Linked DNA regions of Cricetulus griseus. The protein of the gene in region 1 interacts with the protein of each later gene in a biochemical or structural test. Links are inferred from orthologs where the notes say so. Each region holds a gene or a part of one and is shown in the gene's direction. Other genes may lie near its edges.

Region 1 (4,238 bases):
CATCTGGGGAGAGTGTGGCATTGGATATTAATGTGCCCCAAATACTTTGGAATCTCCTTTCCCAATAAACAAAGGCTTCACATGACCACAGAACCCAGAGAGATTTTAACAACACAAACCTCGGTACATCCAACCTCATAGACCTTTCCTTTTAAGACACTGAACAAATATGACTAGGCTTTGTGAAGCTGGGTCCAAAGTGAATGGCATTTAGGGAAACATTCATTTGTTAAATTTATCCCCCCTCCTTATTAGCCTCATTTTATAGTTGGGGGAACTGAGTCCTTTTGTGGAGAGAGTTCTCTTCTAAGGGTTCAAGCAAGCAGAGACAGAGACAAGTCTTCCTTGTGGTGGAGTTAGATATGTATAATATAAAGCATGCTCTTCCCTTACCTCTGCAGAACGTGTGTGTGTGTGTGTGTGTGTGTGTGTGTGTGTGTGTGTGTGTGTGTGTGGCCACAGTCCTTTCCGGATGAGTGACAGCGAAAGCCCATCCCTTCAGGAGACGCATGAGGAATGACCAATGGGATGGATGGAGGGTGTTGGGTATCAGTCTCTGCAGAGGCCACGGTGAAACTGGCTGTGTCCAGCCTGTTCCACCCTCTTCTCCCTGAGCCCCTCAGGCCCTTCTGCATTTGGTTCTCATTGGGGAACCGGAGGTGCTCATCTTAATGCACTAGGGGCTGAAGATAGGGTGCCAGGGGTGCGGCTCGGGTCTGTCCAGCGCAGTCTGCGGTCCCCGCGCTGCAGCGCTGCGGCTAAGAACACTTGGTTGGGAGGCCGGCAGGCTGCAGCGTGTGTGTGTGTGGTGTGTGTGTGTGTGTGTGTGTGTGTGAGAGAGAGAGAGAGAGAGAGAGAGAGAGAGAGAGAGAGAGAGAGAGAGAGAGAGAGAGAGAGAGAGAGAGAGAGAGAGAGAGAGAGAGAGAGAGAGCCTCTGTGTGTGTGTGTGTGTGTATGTGTGTGTGTGTGGTGTCAATATGTAAAGCAATTGGAGGCTCTGGGCGGGGCCTGGGTCCGATGCAAATGAGGGAGGCGGGGTTACCCTGTGGCTCCGCCTTCCTCCCCCGCAGCTGGGGCCAGCGGTGCCAAGCACAGCTGGACCAGCGGCAGCAGCTGGGCGAGTGACAGCCTAGCTCCGCGCGCGCGGCCGCCACCAGAGCCGGCGCGAAGGGGCAGCGCGGCCCCGCGGTCCCCGGCGGCAGCAGCGGCCGCCTAGTCCCGCGCCGCGCCTCTCCGGGCCCGCAGCCCCGCGGTCCCGCCGCCCCGGGGCCGCCACCTCTCGGGGCTCCCCCCGGTCCCCGCGCGCGCAAGATGGCTGACCCGGCTGCGGGGCCGCCGCCGAGCGAGGGCGAAGAGAGCACTGTGCGCTTCGCCCGCAAAGGCGCCCTCCGGCAGAAGAACGTGCACGAGGTGAAGAACCACAAATTCACCGCCCGCTTCTTCAAGCAGCCCACCTTCTGCAGCCACTGCACCGACTTCATCTGGTGAGAGCGCGCCGCGCGGGCCACCTGCCCGGGGCCCCGGAGGGCAGCGACACGCGTGGGGACCCCTCTAGTCGTCCTCGGTTGGGGGGGGGCCGAGGAACCGGGTGCTCATCTCCATCCCGCTGGACCCTTCTGTCCCGCTCTCTGGGATGGCTAATCCCCCAGGTGCTGGGTCCTCTGGTCCCAGACGGTTGGCCCAGGCACCTCCTGCCCTCTTGCACTCTGTCGCTTGAGCACCCAGGGACAGCGCTGCAGGCGCCTTTTTGACACCTGGCTCAGGGCGCCTGGTGACTGTCCCTCCTCGGCAGGGCAGCTCCGCGGGTGTCTTTCTCGCCTGGGGTTCCCGATCTTTCTGCCTTCTTCCGGGCTCGAGGCGCTCTCACCCTCACCCCTCCTTTCCGGGGCAGCTCCCTGGGGTGTCCTCTGGTTCCCCGGGGCGTGGAGCATCCTTCCCTCCAACGTGTCCCTAGAGTAGCGCCCTGGCTAATCTCTTACTGCGTCCCCAGAATCCTGAGCCCCCCTTATTCCTCAGTTCTCACCCTCACGTTGCTGCAGGGCCCCTTTATTCTCCCTGCCTCTCCAGGAGTGGGGCGACCTTTTCTTTCTCCTAGTCTTTCAGGGGACATCGCTGCGGAGGAGTCCCTCTCATCCTCCCTCTAGACAGGTCCTTTTCTCTTTCCCCGAGGGTACTCCCGGCATTTCCTTGGGCAGATATCCAGCCCGCCTTCCGCCCCCACCCGGACGGAAATGCACCCTCGTACCCCGCCACCTGGTGGTCGCGGTCTCGTCTGAACTACCGGGGAGATCTGAGGGGGGAGTTAACTGCCAAGCCCCAACAATGTACCCCACAACCCTATCCAAGGTGGAAGACGCTTGAACACCGGCCTGTAGCTAGGAGGTTGCATCTGAGGTAGAGGGACAGTGGGAAGGGAGGGGGCTACTGTGTGAAACCAGCTGGTAACTGGACCCCTCAGACTGATACTCCTCTTTGTGCTTTTACAGGGGCTTCGGGAAGCAGGGATTCCAGTGTCAAGGTAGGCTCTGTGGCTCTGTGGATACTGCTGGTGGAAAGTGAGGCTAAAACAGACTTTGCAGACGTGGCTGAGTTAGGCAGAGTGAAGTAATCCTGCCTGTCAGAGTGACCTCCCAGGCTAGGAATCCTTCACCACCACAGGGTCCTTTTAAGGGGTGTGTGTTTGGGCCAGTGATGCACCATCCAGGAGAGGCTAGTGGAGCTGGAAGGCCCTAAATGTCAAAAAGTGCATCCATCCCTCTGCCTTCTGAGCATTCTATTGGAATTGTCAGCCCTGCTTAAGTAAGGAAATGTCCTGAAGGACTCCTGTGTGTGGAGGGAACCAATCTTTCTTCCTAATCTCAGCCCTTTCCTGCACATTGCTCTTCCCCACCTCCCAGAACGAGGTTCAGCCTCTTTTCCTTGCTTTGCAGAGGTCTCAGCAGGTGGCTGCCTCCTCTGCAGATGGCGCATCCCCTAGAAAAGCAACTGTGGTTTCCCCTGGGCCTCCTCCCTCTCTGAAAGGGGTGGTTGCACATAGGGTGCCTCTCGGATCCTGCCTGAGATTGCCCTTTTTAACTTCTGAGGAGGCACAGGAAGAGCTCCAAGAGATTGGTTGCCTGGGTCCTTGCATCTGGCTTGAGAGCCATGATTCCAACTTAGGGGTGCCCTATCAAATATCAGAGACCTGGTGGCCTCTTCTGTCTCTAGGGCTCATGTCTACAAGATGGCCTGAGAGCTGGGCAATGTAGCTCAGGAGAGTGCTTGCTTTGTGCTAGAGAGGTTCTGGAATGCATCACCCGAAGCGGGGAGGGGAAAAGATGGGTTTTAAATTGGATCTCCAAAGATGACTAGCTTTAGACTTGTTTAACCCTTAGAATGCCATAGTTTATGAATTTGGTGTTAGCATCTTAGAACTGCAAGATCACACACACACACACACACACACACACACACACACACACACACACGCACGCACACACGCACGTACATACTCATGTATACAGCTTCAACTTGTTGAACATTGGCTCTACTTTCATGCTAAAGCAATCATTTGGAACTGAGGACATCCATTTATCCATTTGCCAAGACAGGGGACACATTTACCACTGTGTCTGTCCATCCACACTGGCCTACTTCTGATCTCCTTAGCCATTTGAATTTGCTAGTTTGTTCCCCTTTGCCCCTTTAGGCCAGGTGTAGTTGAGTTTAGTCAGAAATGGTTCTTTATTCCACTCCTCCCCTACTTTCCTCTCCCTTGTCCTCCCCTCCCTTGTCCTCATTGCTCCTCCTATCTTTTCCTCTCTCCTTCCTATCTCCCTTCTCCATCCCCTTTTCTTCTCTCTCAGTCTGACTTCGGGCCCAGACTGGCTTTGATCTGGATGTTCTTCTGGCCTCCTCTTTTAGCCTCTCAAGTGCTGGGATTACAGGTGTGCTCAGGGTAAATTGACATCCACTACCCTGTAAACTGGGTTTAAATCTGGAGAAGAAAGCATTAGGGTGTGGAATACCCTGAAGTGTGTCTTAGTGCCCACGAGCAAGCTTTGCCTTGCAAGGTTACTCTGCAGGCAAAAATAAAAAGACCCAACAAGTGGACTTGGCTCTGTGATTTTCAGGGAATGTTGGCCTAGAGTGTATGTGCCTTGCTGCCCTAACGCTGCAGGTTCTTATTTGAGCTCTGTAGTGAGATGGGGGAAACTTCTAGAGCTTTCCAACCTCCTTTGCTAAGATTTGGAGCCTCA
Region 2 (4,238 bases), on another chromosome or scaffold:
AATCACTGAAGAGTTTCCAGAAATCTCCCTCTTCCTTGACTATTTGGTGCATACTGGATTGTCAGGATAATGAAGTGACTGACACGGATCATCAGGTCCAGAAGTTTCTGTTACTGTAAACAGGGAGTATAAATAAATCAGAAGAGAATTCCAAATGATTAGCAGACTTCCTCTTCTGTAGGTGCATGGAGATTGAGTCACCAACACAGGAGTGAAAAATCCTGTGGAGATGATGTGTTTCAGGGCGTTGCATCCTCAGATCTGGAGTTTATATCTATTGCTGACTTTAAACTCTCACTGATGGGTTTTGATATTCCCAATGGTTTCCATTTATACTCTGGGCTTTCACAATTAGGTAAAAAGTTAGACCTGAGAAATTGATCCTCTTCCTCCACTTCTTCCTCCCCTCCTTTCTTTTTAATAATAAATTTTATACAGAGGGAAATTTCTGGATTAATTTTCACCACAAATAATTATAAGATGAACCCCAGTTTGGAAGATGGGCCATACATGCTCCTGAGAGAGTTTACACTTGTTAAAAATCAAGGCTGACAGTAGCAGGCTAGTATGACTCAGAAATCCCCTGGGAGACTTTAACCATGCATTGCCGATGTTCTCTTTTCCAAATGAGCAGACTGTCTGCCACATCTCCACTCTCCCTCCAAAGGTGAGCTCCTCACCTTAATATTCCAAGAAGTCCGAGACTCAAGGCCAGACACCTTCTAAAGCCACACACTCCAAAGGTTTTCTTAGGAGAGAAAAGTGATAAAGATGAGAAGGGAAAACTAAACCCTGGTGGATCCAACACAGTGGGCCGGCTAGTCTGCCACTGCTGCGAGCCACACAGAAACTGCTTCTGTCCCAGCTTCCCAGCAACATATTTGCAAAGTGGTAGTTTCTCTTTCCAGTCACCCTGACTGACAATCTCAACTGCTCTGTGGTTCCCCAGAATGTAGACAGCAATGTGGAAGTGAGGTTTGGGGCCACAGATAATCATTTCCATGGCTTTTTGACAAAACTTCATGGGATATTCTTCCATCATCCCCTATGTTCTTGCCCCTGGCCATCTCTGGCTGCAGCAGCCCTGAAGCATTCTTAAGAGGGCTAAAGTTTGCCCTCCTTGGGACAGTCCCCTTTATTGTGTGGAGAACCCTGGAGTTCTGAGAAAATGAAACCAAGATTGACTATTGTAAGAGCACCTGACCTGTAAAAGCAACTTCCACCTGCTGGCTTGAACTCCTGCTTCCCTTTTCTTGCTGACTAGACACACCTTAAGTGAGGTGGGAGAGTAGAGGCTGTCAGCCTCCCCACCCCCACACAAACGCAGTTAGCTTTCTGTTTGCAGTGACCTGCCCTCCTGTGTGACTTATCAGCTCTTCGGGCATTTATCTCTAGAAGGAAAACAAACGGTGGAATGTCCTGCCCCGCATGCTAATGAAGTGGCCAAGCCCACCCACAGCTTACCAGAAGGTTTACCAGCTGGGAGAATAATGAGCTTCGGTTTCTGACCTCCTGGCACCGCTCGGTGTTTATCAGGAGGTGCATATGACTGGTTAAGACACAGCCTGGCTCGAAGGGAACAGCCGCTGGTGGCATGCTCACACTTGGCAGCCAGACAGGCAAAGCGCTGCTGTGAGGAAGAGAAACTCACCCTAGTAAGTCAGTAACCTGAGACTGTCCTCTCTCTCTCTCTCTCTCTCTCTCTCTCTCTCTCTCTCTCTCTCTCTCTCTCTCTGTGTGTGTGTGTGTGTGTGTGTGTGTGTGTGTGTGTGTGTGTGTGTGTGCTCGAGATTCAAGCCACCACCAATTTATTATGCCATCTGGATTTTGGTACCCTGTGACATTGTATTTGTATTTGTTAATTTGTGGGTTTTACTATTTAAGACTGTTCTTTTTAGCCACAGTGTCTTCTAACTTTGAGGATGGAAGACTTTGTCTAGCAAAGGAGTTGATTTCTAGGTGTCCCAGGATTTTTAGGTTCATAGCCAGGATTTAAATCACCTAGGAGTGAACTGGTGGGTAGGAGCAGATGGCTGGAGTTTTGCTAATATTTTATCACTGAAACTTGGAAAACCATATCTGTTAAAAAAAAATGGTGAATTTATGGTATGACTGACTTGACCATTGTGAGTCAATTCTGAAAAAGAATTGTGTAAGAGTCTGCAAAACACACTTATAAATTGACATCTGCATCAAATGTCACTTGAGGTTCTAAGCATGCTTTCCGGTTCATTGAACGCTTAACTTTACAATATGTTTCTTCTATAAACTCACACTCGCTCATGACTTTAAAGCTAACATAATGCTGGGTGGTGTTGGCGTACATCTTTAATCTCAGTACTCAGGTGGCAGAGGCAGGCGGATCTCTGTGAGTTCAAAACCATCCTGGTCTACAAGAGCGAGTTCCAGGACAGCCTCCAAAGCTACACAGAGAAACTCTGTCTGGAAAAAACAAAAAATAAAACAAAACAGAACCATAATAAAAGCTAACATAACACTTCCAGTTGTTTTGGGTCCTCCTTGTTTTAGTAGCTGTGTGGTGCTCAGGGTCTTTGGTTTTTTGTTTGTTTGTTTTGTTTTATTTTGTTTTTTCTCCTTGTTGATGACTCAGATTATGAAAGCGTTCAATGACAGAGTTTGCTCTGGATAGAGTGGCAAAGTGGGAACACCAGTGGGTCAGAGCTGTTGCTCAGGGACTTTTGGCCCATGTGGAGGAAAGAGTAGGCAAAGGTCTGACTGATGATGTAGCCTCTAAAAGTGGCAAGCCTCTGCATCAACAGGGCAGGAAAGATGACCAGGCAGGTTCCTTTTTCTGGATTGCCTGGTCAGTCCTGAGGGATCAGAGCAGGGCTGTATTCTTTCAGAGTCTCAGGAGATGGTGTTTTGCTTGAGATGCGACTAGGATCTTCTGAGTTGAGCTTCCCCAAGATTACTGATGGTTTGCCCTCAAGAGTCAAGTTGTTCCCTTTGCTTGTAAGCTCTGCCTGAGGGCACACAGGTTCCTCTTCACCCCTACCTTGCCCCCTTGCATGTGGAGATGGTATGAAAATAATGGTGAGTCTCCAAAGAAGCACAGCTGACCTTGAACATCTCACCAGCCATGATCCCTAAGGAGACAGCTTTGGGTGCTCTGTGGGGTGGGTGTGGGAGGTGTAAAAAAAACAAAACAAAAACAACAAAAAGAGACTAATCTGGCTAGTCTGGCACCTGAAGCTCTTCTTTTCCTTAAAATGTGGAAGAATCTGCAAAAATCTTGAGTGTCCAAGGAGGGAAAAAATATAGCTCCAATTCTTTGTTCCTCTTTATGCCATTTTGTGAGGTCCTGGAATCAGCTGGCATCTTCCCTGTATAGCCTGGGACTTCTTCCCTGTCTCACTGCAGATGGCTGCTGTTTCCTGGGCCATTCTTGAGAGTTCCTGTTTAGCAGAGTCCACATCTTCTACAGGTTAACAATGGAGAAAACAAAACCAAAACAAAAACCTCTCCAGTGAAATCTTGTCTCCAGAATAATAGCTCCTCTGATAATAAAATGAAATATCTATTGACTACTAAACTAAGGACCATTCTCAGATGAGACAATAGATTTATGATAATATACAGGGATGAGGTGAATCTCGGTGGTCAGCACTTGCCATGAAGTCCTGGGTAAACACTTCTTCCCCACCAAGCATATCCAATGGGATGTCTATGTGGGACTCAGTGTCCTCTGAATTGTCCAACTTCTGAAGTTTTGACCTCTCAAAGATTTTGAGCAATGCAGTGATACCCCCTTTTCAAAGTACTGATAAAAATTATTTTTAAGAAGTCATTAATTTTACTTGCAAATAATATATATCACAGTGTCAAAGAACTTTAGATCTGGGTATGAGTTGTAAAATGTTCAGTTAAACACATGCATTTTGAAGATGGGGAAAATTGCAGCACATGTTTCTACTGTAGTAACTATATTCCAATGTAGAAGCAGAAAAAAATACCTAAGGTTCGGATACTGGTAAAGAGATAATCAATACTAGTAAACATTGTGTATTCTTCTTGTGCATTTATCATACCTAATGATGTCCACAGGTGTATGCATTTTCATAGACTGTTTATAGTAATGTTACCTGTTGTCTAACCAGTGTTTGGCTCACGGTACCGTGGCTTAACAATTTTATCAACTGTGTAATGGTGTGAAAGTGACAGGAATTCAATGGAAACCATGCTTTGAATCTTGAATTTGGGTCTTCCTTTCTTGACAA
Region 3 (4,233 bases), on another chromosome or scaffold:
TCTCTGTGTAACATTCTTAGCTGCCCAGGAAATCACTCTGTAGGATAGGCTGGCCTCAAACTCATTGAGATCCGCCTGCCTCTGCCTCCCGAGTGCTGGGATTAAAGACATGCGCCACCACCACCCAGCTCCCTACTTCACTCTTAACCACATTGCCTTACTCTACCACAAGATGTAAATTATTGCAAACAAAATGGCCATCTGGCTTTTTCTTTCTTTCTTCTGTTCATAGCTGTATCCTAAAGCCTAAAACAGCAGTTCAGCAACAGAACTAAAATAAATAAATGTGACCTTTAGTTCATAGATGTTAGTGGTTGCTACCATCCTAACTGGTGGTCCTTTTTAAAAATATTTAAACTGGAGAGATGGCTAAGAGGTTGAAAGCACTGGCTGTTGTTCTTCAAGAGGTCCAGAGTTCAATTCCCAGCAACCACAAGGTGGCTCACTACCATCCATAACGAGATTTGCTCTCTTCTGGCGTGCAGGAACATATGCAGGCAGAACACTATATGGATAAATAAATTTAAAAATTAAAAAAAAAATAGGCGGGCTGGGCGTTGGTGGCGCACGCCTTTAATCCCAGCACTAGGGAGGCAGAGGCAGGCGGATCTCTTGGAATTCGAGACCAGCCTGGTCTACAGAGTGAGTTCCAGGATAGGCTCCAAAGCCACAGAGAAACCCTGTCTCGAAACCCAATTCCCCCCCAAAAAAACCAAACAAACGAAAAAAAAAAGTTGTAAAATTTAAGGAGAGATCTGTGACATCGGAGGGCCACTGCAAACTTAAGTGTTGAGATTAAGGTCATCAGGTTACCAAATTATCAGTGTTCCTCCGCTTCCCTGTCCAGCCACTTCTTTCAGGGCTACACAAGACAAACTAGCAGGCTTTTCTGTGGAATGGTCAGAGTCACAGAAAGGGATTCCAATAAAAATCCCTTAAAACAAAAGGGCCAGATTGGACGGCACACGCCTTTAATTGCAACTTCAAATATACTTCCTTAGGTCATAGCTTAAATCGGAGTCGCCAACCCAGGAACCGGAACACCAAGCGAAAAGGGCGGGGCGCCGTCTCTGCCACGTAGCCGGGGAGGGAGGAGCCGCTGCAGTATGGCGATGAGCCGGTCGTCTTACTTTTCCTTCCTGAACACGTACTAATCTGCCGAGGAGCCTTTATTAAAACCCAGTAAAGCTTACTTAAGAACGCATTTGTTCAGCAGTCGCCAAATTATGTTCCGTGGCAGAAGAAACGGCGACATTGCGACTTACCGCGCCCAGCCCCTCCCACTACCTGGTGACGCCATCTTTGAGCAGCAGGGAATCATGGGAACCCCCGCCTTGCTCTCCGGGTATTTCCGGTTCCGCCGGAGGCCGCTCTTTCTTTTTCTCCGCGGCGTCGCTGTGGCTGCCGCTGTGGTGCTTGGCTCTCTGAGCTATCCGGTGCCATCCTTGTCGCTGCGGCGACACTCGTATCAGCTGCAGCCATGACGGAGCAGATGACCCTTCGTGGGACCCTCAAAGGCCATAACGGCTGGGTAACACAGATCGCCACCACCCCGCAGTTCCCAGACATGATTCTGTCTGCGTCTCGAGGTACGGGCTGCATGCCGGGCGAAATAGCGCGTTTCCCGGGGACTGCGCGTCTCCTGGCTTCGCAGGTGGCGCGTGGGTTGGCTGGCTTGGTCCATTCCCCCACCCAGTTATGAGTTGGGGCGTGCAGACCCGAACCTGGGCCCCAACTAGGGCGACCCTTTGCACATGGACGGAAACCGAGAGGTGTCGCATAACTCCCATAAGATTAGGTGACTAAATCTCTTCGTCTGTCTTCTCGAGATATATTTAAGTAGTTAGGGAGCTACAAGCCAGGCGGAGCAATGATGACCCCAACATGCCATCTGAGCTACTTTGCTGAAATCCAGAGGCTGTTTCTGAGCTGCCGTCTGGCCCTGAGCTCTGAGCAGTGCGTAAACTAAGGCTTTTTATTTTTCCTCATGACTTATCTTTATCATGATTTGCCCACCCAGGTCTCCCTATCTGCCCAAATTTATGTTCATTCTCGTGTGAAGCTTATCAGGCACTTTATTCGTTTCTGTATGGTTTGACATGGTGCATGGCTAGGACTGTCTTATTCTACCATAGCTACTGCATTTCTAGTCAACCCTTAAAGGCACAAAAGGTGGTCTGCTTATCCCACACCCAAGTGACTTTGCTACTTTTGAGTTAGCCTTGTGCTGGAGTGATGATAGATAAAACTGGCTCCTCAAGGGGACTAGGTAAGGTTTGTTTCCCAGAACCCACATGGTGACTTGCAATTGTAGGTAGTTACAGGGAATCTGACACCCTCTTCTAAAAACAACATGGGCACACATGGAGGGGAAACATTCAACACAAATTAATCTTGGGTTGGATTTGAGTTTCAATCCCAGCAAGTGTGGTACCCCATAGTCTCGGGTGTGCCTTACATCTTTTCAGTTCCTCTCACTGAATGTAGTGATGCTCCCCTTGTTATTACACCAGTAACCGTAAAGCACTGTAAATTATGCCCAGTATATAGGTGTGGGTGCCTATGTAATTTCTTCCCCAACCTTTTCAGACAAGACCATCATCATGTGGAAGCTAACCAGGGACGAGACCAACTATGGCATACCACAGCGTGCGCTTCGAGGTCACTCCCATTTTGTCAGTGATGTCGTTATCTCCTCTGATGGCCAGTTTGCCCTCTCAGGCTCCTGGGATGGAACACTGCGCCTCTGGGATCTCACAACGCAAGTAGCTGCTTTGGGACCTTGGGGGAGAGCTGGGCAAAATTGAGGTAGATTCCCGAGGGTGTGGTCTCCCTCGGAAATTGGTTTTTTTATGGAGGGTGGGGTAAGATGTTGGTGTTGACCTCTTTGAGGAGGGAGCTAGAGGGCTGTCGTGTAGTTGGAGCGTTTTTACCGGGTACCGCCAGCTGTTAAAATAAGTGTTTCATCTTGAAAGCTGTCCTAGATGAGCATTTGGCAGGTGTAATAGAGGATCCTAGTGATGACAAGAAGACATTGTCAACCAATCCCCACAAGGGAATGAGGACATGTCCTGCAATTCTGAATGGGTTCTCTGGCACATACCAAGAATGGGCTAATAATAGAACAAAGCCACATATAAGCTGTGTGGAGTGATAGAGCCTACTGGAGCAGCAATGTAGCCAAGAAAAGGGTCTGACTAAAAGGATAAGATTTGTCTAGAAAGTGACCAGGTTCTCCCATTTAGGGGCACCACCACGAGACGATTTGTAGGCCATACTAAGGATGTACTGAGTGTAGCCTTCTCCTCCGACAACCGGCAGATTGTGTCTGGATCTCGAGACAAGACCATAAAGTTATGGAATACTCTCGGTGTCTGCAAATACACTGTCCAGGTAAAGTGATGGAGGTAAAGGCTACAAGTTAGAGGTTATCTCCCAGCCCTTGGGGATTTTGTTGCAGTTTTGAGATGGTTCATTACTATGTAACCCTGCTTAGACTAGAACTTTGGTCTGCTTATTGCATGCTGGGATCAAAGCTGTGTGCCACCATCTAGCTCTTTTGTAATGTGTGGCATTTGTCTGGGATTTGGTTGGTTTTTACTATATATTTAATGCATTCTTGCTCATGAGTGGCTTGGGACTTGGGAGTTGATTTTTCTTCTGAGTTGGGGCATGGAACCCTAGGCCAAGGCATCTATTGGGCAGGCCCTTACACATGAGCAAATACCCAGATGTGTCCCATAACTTCCCTAAGGGTTAGGGGGTTTTAAAATCTCTACCTACCTCCTGGAAGTATGTTTAAGTACTTGGGGGCTACAAGCCAGGCAGAGCAGTGATGACTCCAACATGCCATCTGAGGTGCAGTGCTGAAATCCAGAGGCTGTTTCTGAGCTGTGCCTGGCACTGTGCTCCATGAGGAGGCATCCTAGGACTCAAATATGAATCAGCAGGCTTGACAAATGACTTTACCAACTGTTCTGTTGATCCAGAAGTATAGGTTTGCCAGAGAGTGCTGTTGCCCCACTTAGGGTAGTTATCTGTAGTCCTCTTACTTACCTTGCATCTTCTGTAGGATGAGAGTCATTCAGAATGGGTGTCTTGTGTCCGCTTCTCCCCGAACAGTAGCAACCCTATCATCGTCTCCTGTGGATGGGACAAGCTGGTCAAGGTGAGCTTCAACAATGGCCTGGCCCCATTAGAAATCTAAAAATGTTCCCATTCCTCTGAGATGGT

The links.
Region 2: of the proteins of Prkcb (region 1) and Rasgrp3, one has a biochemical effect on the other in vitro, tested with the Homo sapiens proteins (2 studies listed by BioGRID). The link is inferred for Cricetulus griseus from reciprocal best matches to the Homo sapiens genes PRKCB and RASGRP3.
Region 3: the proteins of Prkcb (region 1) and Rack1 form a complex in vitro, tested with the Homo sapiens proteins (2 studies listed by BioGRID). The link is inferred for Cricetulus griseus from reciprocal best matches to the Homo sapiens genes PRKCB and RACK1.

The regions. Positions count from the first base shown.
Region 1 is NC_048596.1:78,377,497-78,381,734, reverse strand, and holds the start of Prkcb (protein kinase C beta type), read left to right. Parts: upstream 1-1,311; coding exon 1,312-1,484; intron 1,485-2,486; coding exon 2,487-2,518; intron 2,519-4,238. UniProt on the Homo sapiens protein: Calcium-activated, phospholipid- and diacylglycerol (DAG)-dependent serine/threonine-protein kinase involved in various cellular processes such as regulation of the B-cell receptor (BCR) signalosome, oxidative stress-induced apoptosis, androgen receptor-dependent transcription regulation, insulin signaling and endothelial cells proliferation.
Region 2 is NC_048600.1:8,319,264-8,323,501, reverse strand, and holds the start of Rasgrp3 (ras guanyl-releasing protein 3), read left to right. Parts: upstream 1-1,299; 5' UTR 1,300-1,655; intron 1,656-4,238. UniProt on the Homo sapiens protein: Guanine nucleotide exchange factor (GEF) for Ras and Rap1.
Region 3 is NC_048600.1:63,457,194-63,461,426, forward strand, and holds the start of Rack1 (receptor of activated protein C kinase 1), read left to right. Parts: upstream 1-1,358; 5' UTR 1,359-1,480; coding exon 1,481-1,589; intron 1,590-1,864; exon of another isoform or gene 1,865-1,932; intron 1,933-2,589; coding exon 2,590-2,761; intron 2,762-3,010; exon of another isoform or gene 3,011-3,090; intron 3,091-3,245; coding exon 3,246-3,393; intron 3,394-3,826; exon of another isoform or gene 3,827-3,894; intron 3,895-4,072; coding exon 4,073-4,168; intron 4,169-4,233. UniProt on the Homo sapiens protein: Scaffolding protein involved in the recruitment, assembly and/or regulation of a variety of signaling molecules. Interacts with a wide variety of proteins and plays a role in many cellular processes.